2 linked regions of the Drosophila melanogaster genome follow. Changing the gene in region 2 together with the main gene of any one other region gives a genetic interaction. Each region holds a gene or a part of one and is shown on either strand. Other genes may lie near its edges.

What was found. Genes that interact genetically often act in the same process or in processes that back each other up.
Region 1: of tll (region 2) and erm, changing one enhances a phenotype caused by changing the other (phenotypic enhancement), as found in Drosophila melanogaster (one study listed by BioGRID).

Annotation. Positions count from the first base shown.
Region 1 is NT_033779.5:1,949,482-1,956,899, reverse strand, and holds erm (earmuff), read left to right. Parts: upstream 1-2,346; 5' UTR 2,347-2,574; coding exon 2,575-2,586; intron 2,587-4,020; coding exon 4,021-5,844; coding exon of another isoform or gene 5,845-6,105; 3' UTR 6,106-6,661; downstream 6,662-7,418.
Region 2 is NT_033777.3:30,850,310-30,855,196, reverse strand, and holds tll (tailless), read right to left. Parts: upstream 2,883-4,887; 5' UTR 2,651-2,882; coding exon 2,575-2,650; intron 2,454-2,574; coding exon 1,171-2,453; 3' UTR 797-1,170; downstream 1-796.

The DNA of each region.
Region 1 (7,418 bases), on a different chromosome or scaffold from region 2:
ACTCTGTTTGCATCTCTTTCCCGCTGACCTCTGAACTCTGCGCCATTTGCATCTGCGCTTTGCTCTCGTTCTCGCACAGCTTTTGCACTTTTTGTTTTATATTTTATTTTTGCACATTTTGCCGGATTTTCAAGTTCCTTTGTTGTTGTTTAGTTTAGTTCGTTCTGCATTTACAGTTAGTCCACTCTGCCACCCCTTCGCCGCCCCACGTCCTTATCAAGGATACGACTCCCCCCCCCCCACTCGCCACTCGTTTAAGTGTGTGTGTGTGCTTACATGGCTTTTGAATGGAAATGAACAGAGGTGAAAAGGAGCAGAGATAGTGGAAGAGAGATAAGGTGCAAAGATAACTACAGATAGAAAAAATATGTAGTAGTAGTAAGCTTAATATTTTTCACTCCGTTTCTAAATTCTCTTTTGAAAAATGTTCAACAGTTCAAATGTAAACTATTACTGAGACTTTTTCTGTTAGTGTATAAAAGCTGCATAGGCCGTGGTCGTTTTGTTTGTTGAATGTCCAGTTGGTTGTTGTTTGTGCTGCTATTTTCCCCTCGTTGCTGCCTTTTTTCACTGCGTTTATTTATTCAACTAAATGCAGATTGCACATTTCAGTATGTGCCGTTCATTTAGCTTCCAGTTAATCACGCTGTTTTGCCCGCTTTTTGTCAAGGATAATCACCGGATTGTTTTTGCTTCGTCGAACGTATGCTTACTAAAATATTGGAATTATTCACACAATATTGAAGCTTGTTAAATTAGGCAGTAGAAGACACCTATAATAGTATTACGAATTTCCATGAATTTTCATGTTAAAGTAGATTTACCCGTCGGCATCTCAAAGGAATCAAACAAATAGTTTACAAATATTGTACAATAGTTTTTATGGTTGCCACATTCAACCCATCCAATCAACATTACTCCAATGAGGAAACCTAATCAACAAAGAGCTGATATTTGCATATCGATTTCCCCACACAAGAGCCGCACAACAAGCCAGATTAACGGAAAATGCAGTCGAAATGGCGGCCATAGTCCTTGAAGGATCCACTAAAACCCCCACGCTCCCCGTCGGACTCGCCGAAGAGTTGTGCTTTTGTGTGGCCTTGCAGCTGCAATTGCTGAACTGCTCAACTCCAGCAAAAGCAGCCATGTGCCCTGCATTGCCCAAGAAAAGGTCCTGGACCGTGGTCCTGCAAACGGATGGAGTTGGTGGAGCAGGACGACAAGCACTGCCAGAGCAAACAAAGTCAAGAAAGCCGCGCTGGAGATGCCATCAAAATGAATATGGGATTATATTTAACTAGTGCTGGCTGGCGATGCAGGGGGCTTCAAATCAAACAAATGAGAAAGGTGCACCTAGAGAACAGGGAAGCTAAAGAATAATATAAAGTTATCTAACCAATTTTATACAATTTACAATCTTTAAAAATTGGCGATTGATGCTTATCCTGCGACTAACATTCCTACATAGAATAGGGATTACTGATTGGATTACGGGTGAATTATTTTCTCTGTATATAGCAAAAAAAGATGAAGAATTGGAGAGAATCAAAGAATCCTTGCCCGCTGGCGGGCTAAAGGTGAGCAAACAAAGACGCTGATAAAACGAAATGCCAAAACGACAATTGAAACGCCCAACAAAAGGCATGAGCTTTCCAGGAGGGGGATGCGCTGGGAACGGGGAACGGGGAAAGGGGTGGGCCAGTGAAAAAGTCAACTCGAGAGGCATCCACGAGGCCGGTGGCTGCCATTTCTTGGTGTCTGGTGTCGCCCCATCCAAATCAAGTGTGAACGGAATACGGCCAAAGGTGGCCCATCCATCCATCCATCCATCCATCTCTCCGTCCGTCCATCGGTCTCTTTCCAGCAGCCGAGTGCTACGCATAGTGCGCTCCCTCTTTTGCGGAACCTCCTCCATCTCGTCACTCCTCTATGTATCATCTTCCTGGGCTCTTGAGCTCTATCTCTATATAAATATTTTAGGGGCGGTCTCTGCTCACTGCCTCTCTCTTTCGCCGTAATATTCCAATTCGACATTTTGTCTTTTCATTCATAATGCAGTCGCAGTCGACGGCGACGTCGGCGTCAGGACATATCCTCCAATCTGAACGTGATGATTAAGTTCTCCTTTTGCCCGTCGCTCCCATCAATCCATCTCGCTCTGTCGCTCGACCAGGACGTCTGCATCCATCTCTCTCTCTCCCTCGGCATGCATTTCATCTCTCACTCTCGCCAACGGCGGCAGCACGCAGGACTCTCGGGGGTTGTTTCGCCAGGATTCACCCCAGCACTCGCCGTGTGTCCTTTTCATATTTCTTAAGGCCCGCACCGTTCGCTGTTTGCCTTCATTCCGCTTCGGTCGCTGATCCTGTGCTGAACGCGTCCTGTTCCTCGCGTCCCTCGATTTGCATTTAAAAAGCGTATATCCTTATCGACGAAACAAGTGAACTTTAAATAGTAAAGTAAAAGGACCAAGTTCAATTTGTGTGTGCCAACTGTTGTGTTTTGCCTCTAACAAGTGGAGATCGGCCGCCTGCCAAGGGAACTGGATATCCACATAGGCAGTGCCTGAATATGGTTTACTTTGTACGTATTCGATACATAAAAACTTAATTTATTACTCTGTAATTGCAAAACTCCGACGGGAAAAGGAAAAAACTATAAAGTACAAGTTCGCTTTTTCATATTAGAAGCATTTCGAAGCTATTTGCGTGACGTTCGTAAGAAAAGCAGGCATTTACATAGGTCTATGTCCTCTTTAGATAGTATTTCGTCTTGTATCTTTACCATCATTCTTAACACTTATGATTTTGATTAACCCCATCAAAAGCCAGCTTCATCTCATAACTTCTAACATGTGCTAGGGCATAGCCACTTGTTCAACTCAAGACAAAGTTTCCAAGTGCCTGTGTGCTCCGTTGATTGAATATTATTCCACGCACTTGGTTAATAAGCTCGATGTGGTTCGCACTCCCCAAGTGGCGTTCGTAGAGGCAAATTTTGAAGTGGCCACTAGAACACCAACATAATTCGGCTGCTTAAAAGTGGAACTACTCGTTCGTAGTAGTAGTAGTTTGGCACCCGGGAAACTTTGGGATCGAGGGCTGACCGCCGCTGCCTCCGGGTCAGCGTGTGAAATGGTTGCCGCCTCTCGTTTAATGAGATTAAAGCGCACTTTGGAAGGGAAACTGCAAGATGGGCGAACTGCGGACCCAGATGGGAGCTGGGCCTGCTGAGGCGTCAAATCAAGTTAATTAAAAGCGGCAAGGAAGTCGGTAATCGCACCGGATGTCGCACATTAGCCACACTCGAGGGCACATGGGGAAGATGGAGCCGGCGAGGCGGCGAGGCGGCCTTACACCTCCAGTCGAGTGTAAGCGATTTAATGAATCTCACATAAAGCCAAGACCCGCGCCAAAAAATTCGCATACTGCTTACTGGGCCTGTGTTATGATTGATGGCAATATGCTGGCGAAAGGATTGAGGTCTTTGTTTGGGTTAAGTGGAGTGTAAGCCAGGGCAAAGCACGGGTTAAATGCAAATAGCGTGGTATGCAAAATCGATCGGGTAATATTATGGAACGCACTGCGGTTTGCGTTTAATTGCAACCCGCTGGCTGGCCCTGAATTATCCTGCGGAAATGTCCTGCCGCTGGGAGCACGCCCTCCGCTGGCGTTTGTTTGTGCTCCCGAATTGCCAACGCATTAGTTGCACTTGACTGATCAGGCGGTAAATAGTCCGTACAGCTGCGGTCAAAACAATAGGGACCACTTGAAATCCGAGCAACTTGGGAATAGGTGTTGTTATTATATTCATAATTATAAACCGAAATATATGCTTTACATATATGCTTTTGAAGGCAAGAAGTTTTTAGAAAGGTATGGGAACCAGAAATGTTATTTATCCTAGTTATTTCCCCCCAACTGTGGCCACAAACAATGGAGGCGTATGCCTTCGATTAATTGATAACCCGTTGCTTAGTTTGCATACTCAATTTGGCTCTTTGTTCGTTTCTTACAGAGTCCGCGTGGCATGCAACCGTGTAGTCCAGCGGGAGAAATCGCAATGATGCCGCCTTCGAAGAGCCCCGTGATGGAGAGCGCCGCCTCCGAACAGAATCCTGCCCAGCAGAGCCAGCAGCAGGACGAGCAGAGCGCCAAGCGGGCGTGTCCCCTAAAGTTTTCGATAGCCAAGATCATGGAGCCGGATCACAGGCCCAGCCAAGTGCCACCGCCGCAGCCCGCTCCGGTTTCCTTCGCCACCAACGATGACGACGAGGATGAGGATCCGGAGATCGATGCCGACTCGGAGCGCTCCTGCAGCCCCATCGAGGTGATCAGCCTGGATCAGTCGCCATCCACTGTCAACTATGACTCCGCTTTCAAGAAGTATGTGCCGGGTCCGTGTTCGGGCGCCACTTCATCGGTGGCCTCGCCGCCGAGCACCGCTGCTGTGCAGCAGTTTGTGAGCTCCCGCCACCAGGAGCTGCTCTCGCAGTATCCCCTGCTGTACTATGCACCCAATCAGCTGATGTGCGCCGCTGCTGCCGCCCAATATGCAGCCCTTACCGCCCAACAGCAATCGCTGGCCAGCGCCGCCCACCTGAGCAGCTTCACCGCATCCCTGAATGCCAGCTTGCATCACTCGCAGTCGCTGAGAAGAAATCTGGGTCATCCACTGGCCGCGGCAGCTGCCGTGGCGGCAGTGGCCCAATCCCAGGCGGTGCCCAATTTGCAACATACCCTGGAAAAGTCGCCAGTGGCCCAGAGAACAGCCCAGAGTTCGGGATTGCAAGCTAACTTGAAGAGGAAACGATCGCCGCAGGATCAGGGCGAAGTGACGCCGCCTCCAGCGTCTACTGCCACTTCCGCCACTGGAGCCAGATCCCGCTCCCCCTCGCCGCAAGGATCCATCGAGGACAGCAGTCCCGGATCGGCCAGTGGCGGCAAGCCCAAGACCTTCTCCTGCCTGGAATGTGGCAAGGTGTTCAACGCCCACTACAACCTCACCCGCCACATGCCCGTCCACACCGGAGCCAGGCCGTTTGTTTGCAAGGTCTGCGGCAAGGGATTCCGCCAGGCTTCGACTCTCTGCCGGCACAAGATCATCCACACGTCGGAAAAGCCGCACAAGTGCCAGACCTGCGGCAAGGCCTTCAATCGCTCCTCCACCCTCAACACCCACTCGCGCATCCACGCCGGCTACAAGCCCTTCGTGTGCGAGTACTGCGGCAAGGGGTTCCACCAGAAGGGCAACTACAAGAACCACAAGCTGACCCACAGCGGCGAAAAGGCCTACAAGTGCAACATCTGCAACAAGGCCTTCCACCAGGTCTACAACCTCACCTTCCACATGCACACGCACAACGACAAGAAGCCCTACACCTGCCGCGTCTGCGCCAAGGGATTCTGCCGGAACTTCGATCTGAAGAAGCACATGCGGAAGCTGCACGAGATCGGCGGCGATCTGGATGACCTGGACATGCCACCCACCTACGACAGGCGGCGCGAGTACACGCGCAGGGAGCCACTTGCCTCCGGTTACGGCCAGGCATCGGGTCAACTCACGCCGGACTCCAGTTCCGGCAGCATGTCGCCGCCCATCAATGTCACCACACCGCCACTTTCCAGCGGCGAGACGAGTAATCCCGCCTGGCCCAGGTCCGCCGTTTCGCAGTATCCGCCCGGTGGCTTCCATCACCAGCTCGGAGTGGCTCCACCTCACGATTATCCCAGTGGCTCCGCCTTCTTGCAACTCCAGCCGCAGCAGCCACATCCGCAAAGCCAGCAACACCATCAGCAGCAGCAAAGACTCTCGGAGACCTTCATAGCCAAGGTGTTTTGACAGCGATACTATGCGGAAAGCTTGAACAGCTCCACGGGGTCGACCTCGACGACCAGCTCCACGGTGACCACCACCACCACGGCCATATCCTCGATGGCCACCTCCAGGAGCGATCTGCTGATCGACTGACTGCAGTTTGTGGCAGCGGCGGCCGCTGCGAGCAGCTCGAATTCCGGGCAGGATACCGGCGAATCCCCGTCCCCGGAGCTCGGATGCACTGCTCTGGGCAGTGCTGTCCGCGCACTGAACGGTCTCTTCTAGGCAGAAGGACCCCTGTCCACCTCCACCCACCCCGCAGAACCTCAGCAGCCACCAAATGGTTTCAACTTGTGCAATACCCCACTCAGAAGATGATGATGACGATGATGATCCCAACGCTCAGCCCACATCTCCAAGCAGCATTTTGTACATAGCGTATCCCTAAGAAGTCTCACAGAACACTCTACTTAAGCAGCTCTCTCGATGTATAGATGTAGTTAAAGGATTTACCTAGTTAGTCGCCAATACCGAAAGCCCTGAGTTCCGTGTAGACACGCTACACAGATCCTCCAGGACACGTTTCGATATAGAAAAAGGTGTTTTTAACATTGCGTTACAGCTTTTTGGGGTCTGTCAACCGATATACATAGATGGAAATGTATCTTAGAGTTGCACTAGATATCCGTACGTACTCTATCCCTAAGTGTCTGTGTAACCCAACGCAAATTAATGAAATTGAGAAACATTTTAACAAAGATCCATGAATGCATTGTATTTGTTTAGGTCTTAAGTGATATTATTGATACTGTTTAAGCAATAAACCAATTCTTCAATTATTAAACGAAAATGGTGTTTAGATATGCTGGGAAAGCGTATATAATCTTCATATGCACATATGCAAATAACTGAGCAACAGTGTGGGGTGTCATTGAGTCGAGTGGAGGGATCCTAAATAATGCAAATGGATGCGAAATGAAAACAATTATTGCTGCATTACTCGGGCCCAAGAGTCGCGTTTAATGGGCTCTAAACTGTCGCCACGTCTGCCGCATGACATTTGCAACTTAATTAGTGCCGACCAGCCCCCACTTTTTCACCTTCCACTCGGGAAAACTCCGCAGGTGGCCTGGGCCTGCCACACGCCTCAATCATTTGCATAGCACTTTGATCTGTGGCTCGAGAAAAGTCAGGAATACCGGCGTGGAAATGGGTCTGGAGCAGGAAGGTTGAAGTTCTTGAGCCCGCTCATAAAAATGCAACAGAAGCATCCTTATTAGTCAGGCGGCTCAATTAATAAGGCACGGTGGAAGTGTATGAAAAATATATGAACACATATAACCTTAGTAATTACCAAATATATTCAAGTGCTCAATATGAATAACTTTACTTGACAAGTTCAAATATAATATTTATGTTTATTTGGATGACCTCTTGTAGTCCTGATGTCTTTGGTTTGGTGACAGCGTACTATTGTTGGGCTTTAATACGAACGTCAGGAGCGCGATGCATGTGATGTCCACTTGAGTTGACATCTTTACCCTCTTCCTCTGGCCAAATCACATGAATAATTCAGAGCGCATTGAATATCCAATATC
Region 2 (4,887 bases):
ATCTCTGTTTATTTTGGCCAACGCAATTCGAACAATTTGGCAACTGTTTGTTCAGCCTTTGCCAGCGAAAACTCATTTACCTCCGGCTGCACGTTGCTTGGCCATTGTGAAAGGATTCAATTGTCCTTCCGGCAGAGCGATCCCCGATCCCCGAAACCCCGTTCCCGGTCCTGCCAGCAATGCGACGATCCAACGCCGCTCGACAAAGTCACAAAAGTGAATTTTTGCTTTTTAACTTTTCGAATTTCGGGGCGGGAGAGAAAGGATATCAAAACTGGGGCGGCCATTGCACTGCGTCCCTCAGGTTCCCAAATTAATGCCGACTTTGGTCTGTTCATGCAGAAAAACTATGCTAATTTTCCACGGTTTCTTCTGCGATCTAATATTTCTTTGTTCCAGTATTTGCATAATTCATTTGTGATTAACTGGGTTGCCCTGTGCGGTTGCTTTGTCGTCTCTAAGGATGCGAAAAGCCTCACGAAATGGCCATAAAAAGAATGATAATTCCGTGTGTAATCTCATGATTCCATGTTTGGCATAACACTTTCAGCTGCTTACAAAAGTTGCGCAAATAACTAGGACCTACTTCTTGTTTAGTTTAGATATATTTTTTCTAAGCATAGCTTTTGAAAACCAAAAGACCTTTCAAATAATGTGAATACTACGTTTTTTCATTTAATTAATGAAATATATTTTTTCAAGTTTAAAACTTCCGATAGTCCAAATCCAAGTTCTGAAACTGTCAGTTCCATTTCTTCCAAAATATTGCATCCACCCAAAAAGACCCATTAATGTTCATTTCGAAAACCTTTAGGTTTATTTTGAATAATTATTTTTCCAAATCCTAAAGCTAATAATATGCGCTTAAAACTAAAGTGTTTAAAACTACGATTGACGTATTTAACAGGCAAAGTTGAAACTTTTGCGAATGCAATTTGAAACACATCTGGATGGTCTGAGAGACTTTAGCTAAGATTACTTCGAGTTCTGTTTAGGTAAGGTATTAAGGTGAGTGTTGTGTACGTATTTTAAGGCTCGACTCCTGGATATGAGAAATCGTTGATTTCACTGATCGAGTATTGTCCAAAGCGCTTCTTCCGAGATTATCACAGTTCCCAGCACTTGGAAGGCACTTCGAGTGCGGCGATTAGTCTAGGCTCTACATACTTTTCAGATCTTGCGCTGACTGTACATGTCGGAGATGAGGCGCACAATGGTGATGTCGCCGATGGTCTTTCGGAAGAACAGCTCCTCGATGGTGAAGCTTGAGACCTTGTGCATCAGCTGCACCACGCCCAAGAGCGTCTGGAATCGCATGGGCTGCGAGGGATGGGTCCTCTGGATGTAGTTGTGCAGCGCACTCCGGGCATCGTTGTGCATGGCCGCCACTTTTCCCGACTCCAGAAGACCCCTGGATTCAGCAGAGGCCGAGGAGTTCGGGCTGCCGCTTCCTGTCAGGATTGAGCTGTTGGCTAAATCCTCGGTAGAACTTGCCGACGGTGGTGACTTACGGAAGAGCGAAATAGCCCTCAGACACTCGTACTCGGTGCTGTCAATGTTCAGATGGCACAGTTGGTTCAGCACCTCCTGGAAGGCGTGCACCTCGCGGGTCACCATGCCCATGATCTCCCGGTTGGCATTCTCGGACTCGTAGACGAACAGCAGCTGGGCGAAATTCATGGGCATTAGGTACTGGGCCATGGCCAGGATGAAGAACTCCTTCCAGGACTCCTCCAGCAGGAGCAGCTGATCCGGCATGGGCAGTTCGGTGAAGGCCCGTACGCTCTTGATCCAGTTGACGTTCTTGAATAGGTGTTCCGCCGCGGTTTCCTTGATGTGCTCAGCTGCCATCAGCGGAGGAGTGGGGGGCAGGGCCCGAGTGGCCAGGGCATTCATGTAGGCGGCGGTGGGCGAGAAGAAACCGTGGTGTCCTTGGTGCACCGGGTGATGGGGCACTCGTGGCACGGATAAGTCCAAGACAGCGGCAGCCGATGGTGGCGGCTGGAAGGCAGCCATGTGAGCAGGATGATGACCAGCCCTCTGGGGCAGGCCAGGCATGGGCATCGGTACTCCAGGAAAGCCGGTCAAGGCAGCCGTGTTCATCAGAATTTCGGCGGGTATTTGTGGCATCTCGCCGGCGCCCATCATGGCATCCTTGTACATGGCCATGTGGCGACGCAGAGTGGAGTTCCGCGGTCCCCGCTCGTGCTGCACTGCATCCTTGTTCATTCCGACCTCAAAGCACTTCCTCAGTCGGCAAGCCCTACATTGGTTCCTGTGCGTCTTGTCCACCACACAGAGTCCCTGCTTCTGCGACTTGCACACATACTGCCGGGATCTCCGAATGCTCCTCTTGAAGAATCCGGCGCAGCCATCACAGGCGTAGATGCCGTAATGCTTGCCGGAGCTGTGATCTCTGCAGACTTTGCAGGGCACATGGTATAGAATGCGACCTGGAAATTCAAGAAGGGGGGAAAGTTGGTATAAGTAAAGGATTGTCTTAATTTTATATATTAGGAAGATTGTTTTCTTCTTTTTTCATTGCTATCTGATTTTTTTTTTTGCTATACTTACTCGATGCCGCTGGCGAAAGACGCACGCTGTTGTATTTCTGATCCATCATGTCTGGTGAACCCTCCGACGACTGCATACCGATGTGGGGCGTAATTTTGGCGATTTTTGTAGAAACGCTTGCACAAATTGAATTTCACTTGGCACTGGTGTATCTTTGAGTCGTTTTGGATTTTTGTTTTAACGGTTTGGGTGGACGGCGGTATTGCGGATTGTGTGATATATTCGATATATCCTTGGTTACTCCGATGTGGACTCGCTGAGATCACGATGGGTTGTGTTGTCTGCTGTGAGGACCGCCGGCGTTTTAATAGTCCTGCAGACCAAATCCATTCATCGAGCAGTCGATCACCCTTAGGTAGACAAACTCCGCGTTCATTGGTCGAAACTCGGGAGAGGGTTGCTTCTAATGCCCTCTCTCGCATATCCTCTCTCACTCTCCCCTGGAGAATCCTTCGATCCTGCGGCAGGCTGCCATTGCGAAAAATTCATTGAGCAAGGAACGCAGCAGCCGTCGCTCATTCTCATTCTCAATTCTTTCGGTTTTTATGGCCCTTTTCCGCAGGATTCACTACCTGCTCTCTCACGCGAACTCCTCGTCCGTCTGCTACCCTCTCTCGCAGCAGAGAATCTCTGCCCGTCCTGCGACAGTTGTTAATGAAGAGATATCCTTCCATATCCATGGCCGAGTATTTTATGGCGCTGCCATTATTGCCGCTTTGTGATTTGTGTGAAGTACCTGTGGGTTCGCTTCTAGTCCTGCGAGGCGAGTCCTTTTCGAGTGGCGATAGTAGCAGCAGGGGTTGAATACCACGCACTATTGATTGTTTTCCATTCAGTAATTAGGTTTTTATGATGCAACCATATAAATGTTTAGGGAAATGATAAATCTAAAGACTTTGATAGATATCAGATTGTACAGATTTCTTGAGCTTATCAATTTTACACAAATCTGAGTATGAATTTTGTATCGTAATTTTTAAAAAATGTACTCAACATTTTTTAATTAAGAAAGTGCATTATAATGTTGAGCATCTAAACAAATTCTTCGATTCCCCCATAAAATTAAATTTTGGAATAACTTCTGCTAACCAAATACAACGTATTTCCTATATAAAATATATGCACTGATTAAAATAAAAAACAAATATTTGCATTTCTTAGCCAGCTTTGGCAACTTTTTAGGTTCAATCTAAAAATACTTTATGAAAATTATTGCGGAGCTCAGATTGCGTTTTTAATAATAATTTTTATAAATGCTTAATAAATAAAATTATTTTAAAGTAAACCCAAAACGGAGTTGTTAAAATCAAAGGTTCATGTTACTAAAATGGGAGCTAGCCATTTGAGATAGTAGCTCCCGCGGCTGAGCCAGATTAGGCGTTGCCTTTTGAGAGCCTTTAGGATTCAAGTGGACAGTGCCTCTAATCTCGCTTGGTCCTGCCAAGTCCCGAAGGACCCACCGATTCCTCGACTTAAGCTCGCCGCTTAAGCAGATTACGGATTTTAGATCGCGGGAGTGGTACTGCCTGGAAAAGGCACGCTGGTCGGGAGGCTGCTAGATCAAGCTTTTCTGTCTTCGGGATCAGCGAATTCAAAAGAAAGACATTGTGCGAGGTCCCAGCATCGGGCGAGTACTTAATAATGTTAAGCAAGATCCTGTAAGTCTGGTGCGATTACGCACCAACGCCTAAGGCCATGTGATCCTGATCCAGGACCTCGAACGTGGGAACAGCTCTCTGCTCGAACGGACTCGAATGCAGAAGGGCGGAGATGCAAATGCAATTCATTTGATATACGATAGACACTTGAAAAGAGCAATTATATTTCGATTCGTATTACGGATGCGTAACTTGATCAATAAAATGCTTGACATGATATCAACAACAGTCGCCAGGGGTTGCAATGTCCAGGGGTTCTAATTGGACTAGTCAACCCCTGGATGATGCTGAATCGGAGGGGGTGGTTAATTGGAACTCAGGTGTGCTGCATGGGAATTCGCTTGCGTGTGTTGCTATTCCGATCATTAGCTGGACTTCCATGGGGGGAGGATGCTCTACTAAACCAGATGACGATGACATATCAATTTTTGACATTCCCTTGACCGTTCATTGAGTTTGAAGTAATTATAATTGTGGGAACTCGTGAATATGCAGATGAGGAGGCTGCATCTGTTCGATCTTCCCACGTTGTATGAGTATGTTCACAACTAAGCGAAAATTTAGTCATTGCTTTTAACATAACAACTAATATGTGGTAATAGTCAATTCGCATAGTTCTTTAAACAGTTTCCAAGGGCCAATACATTTAAAATTA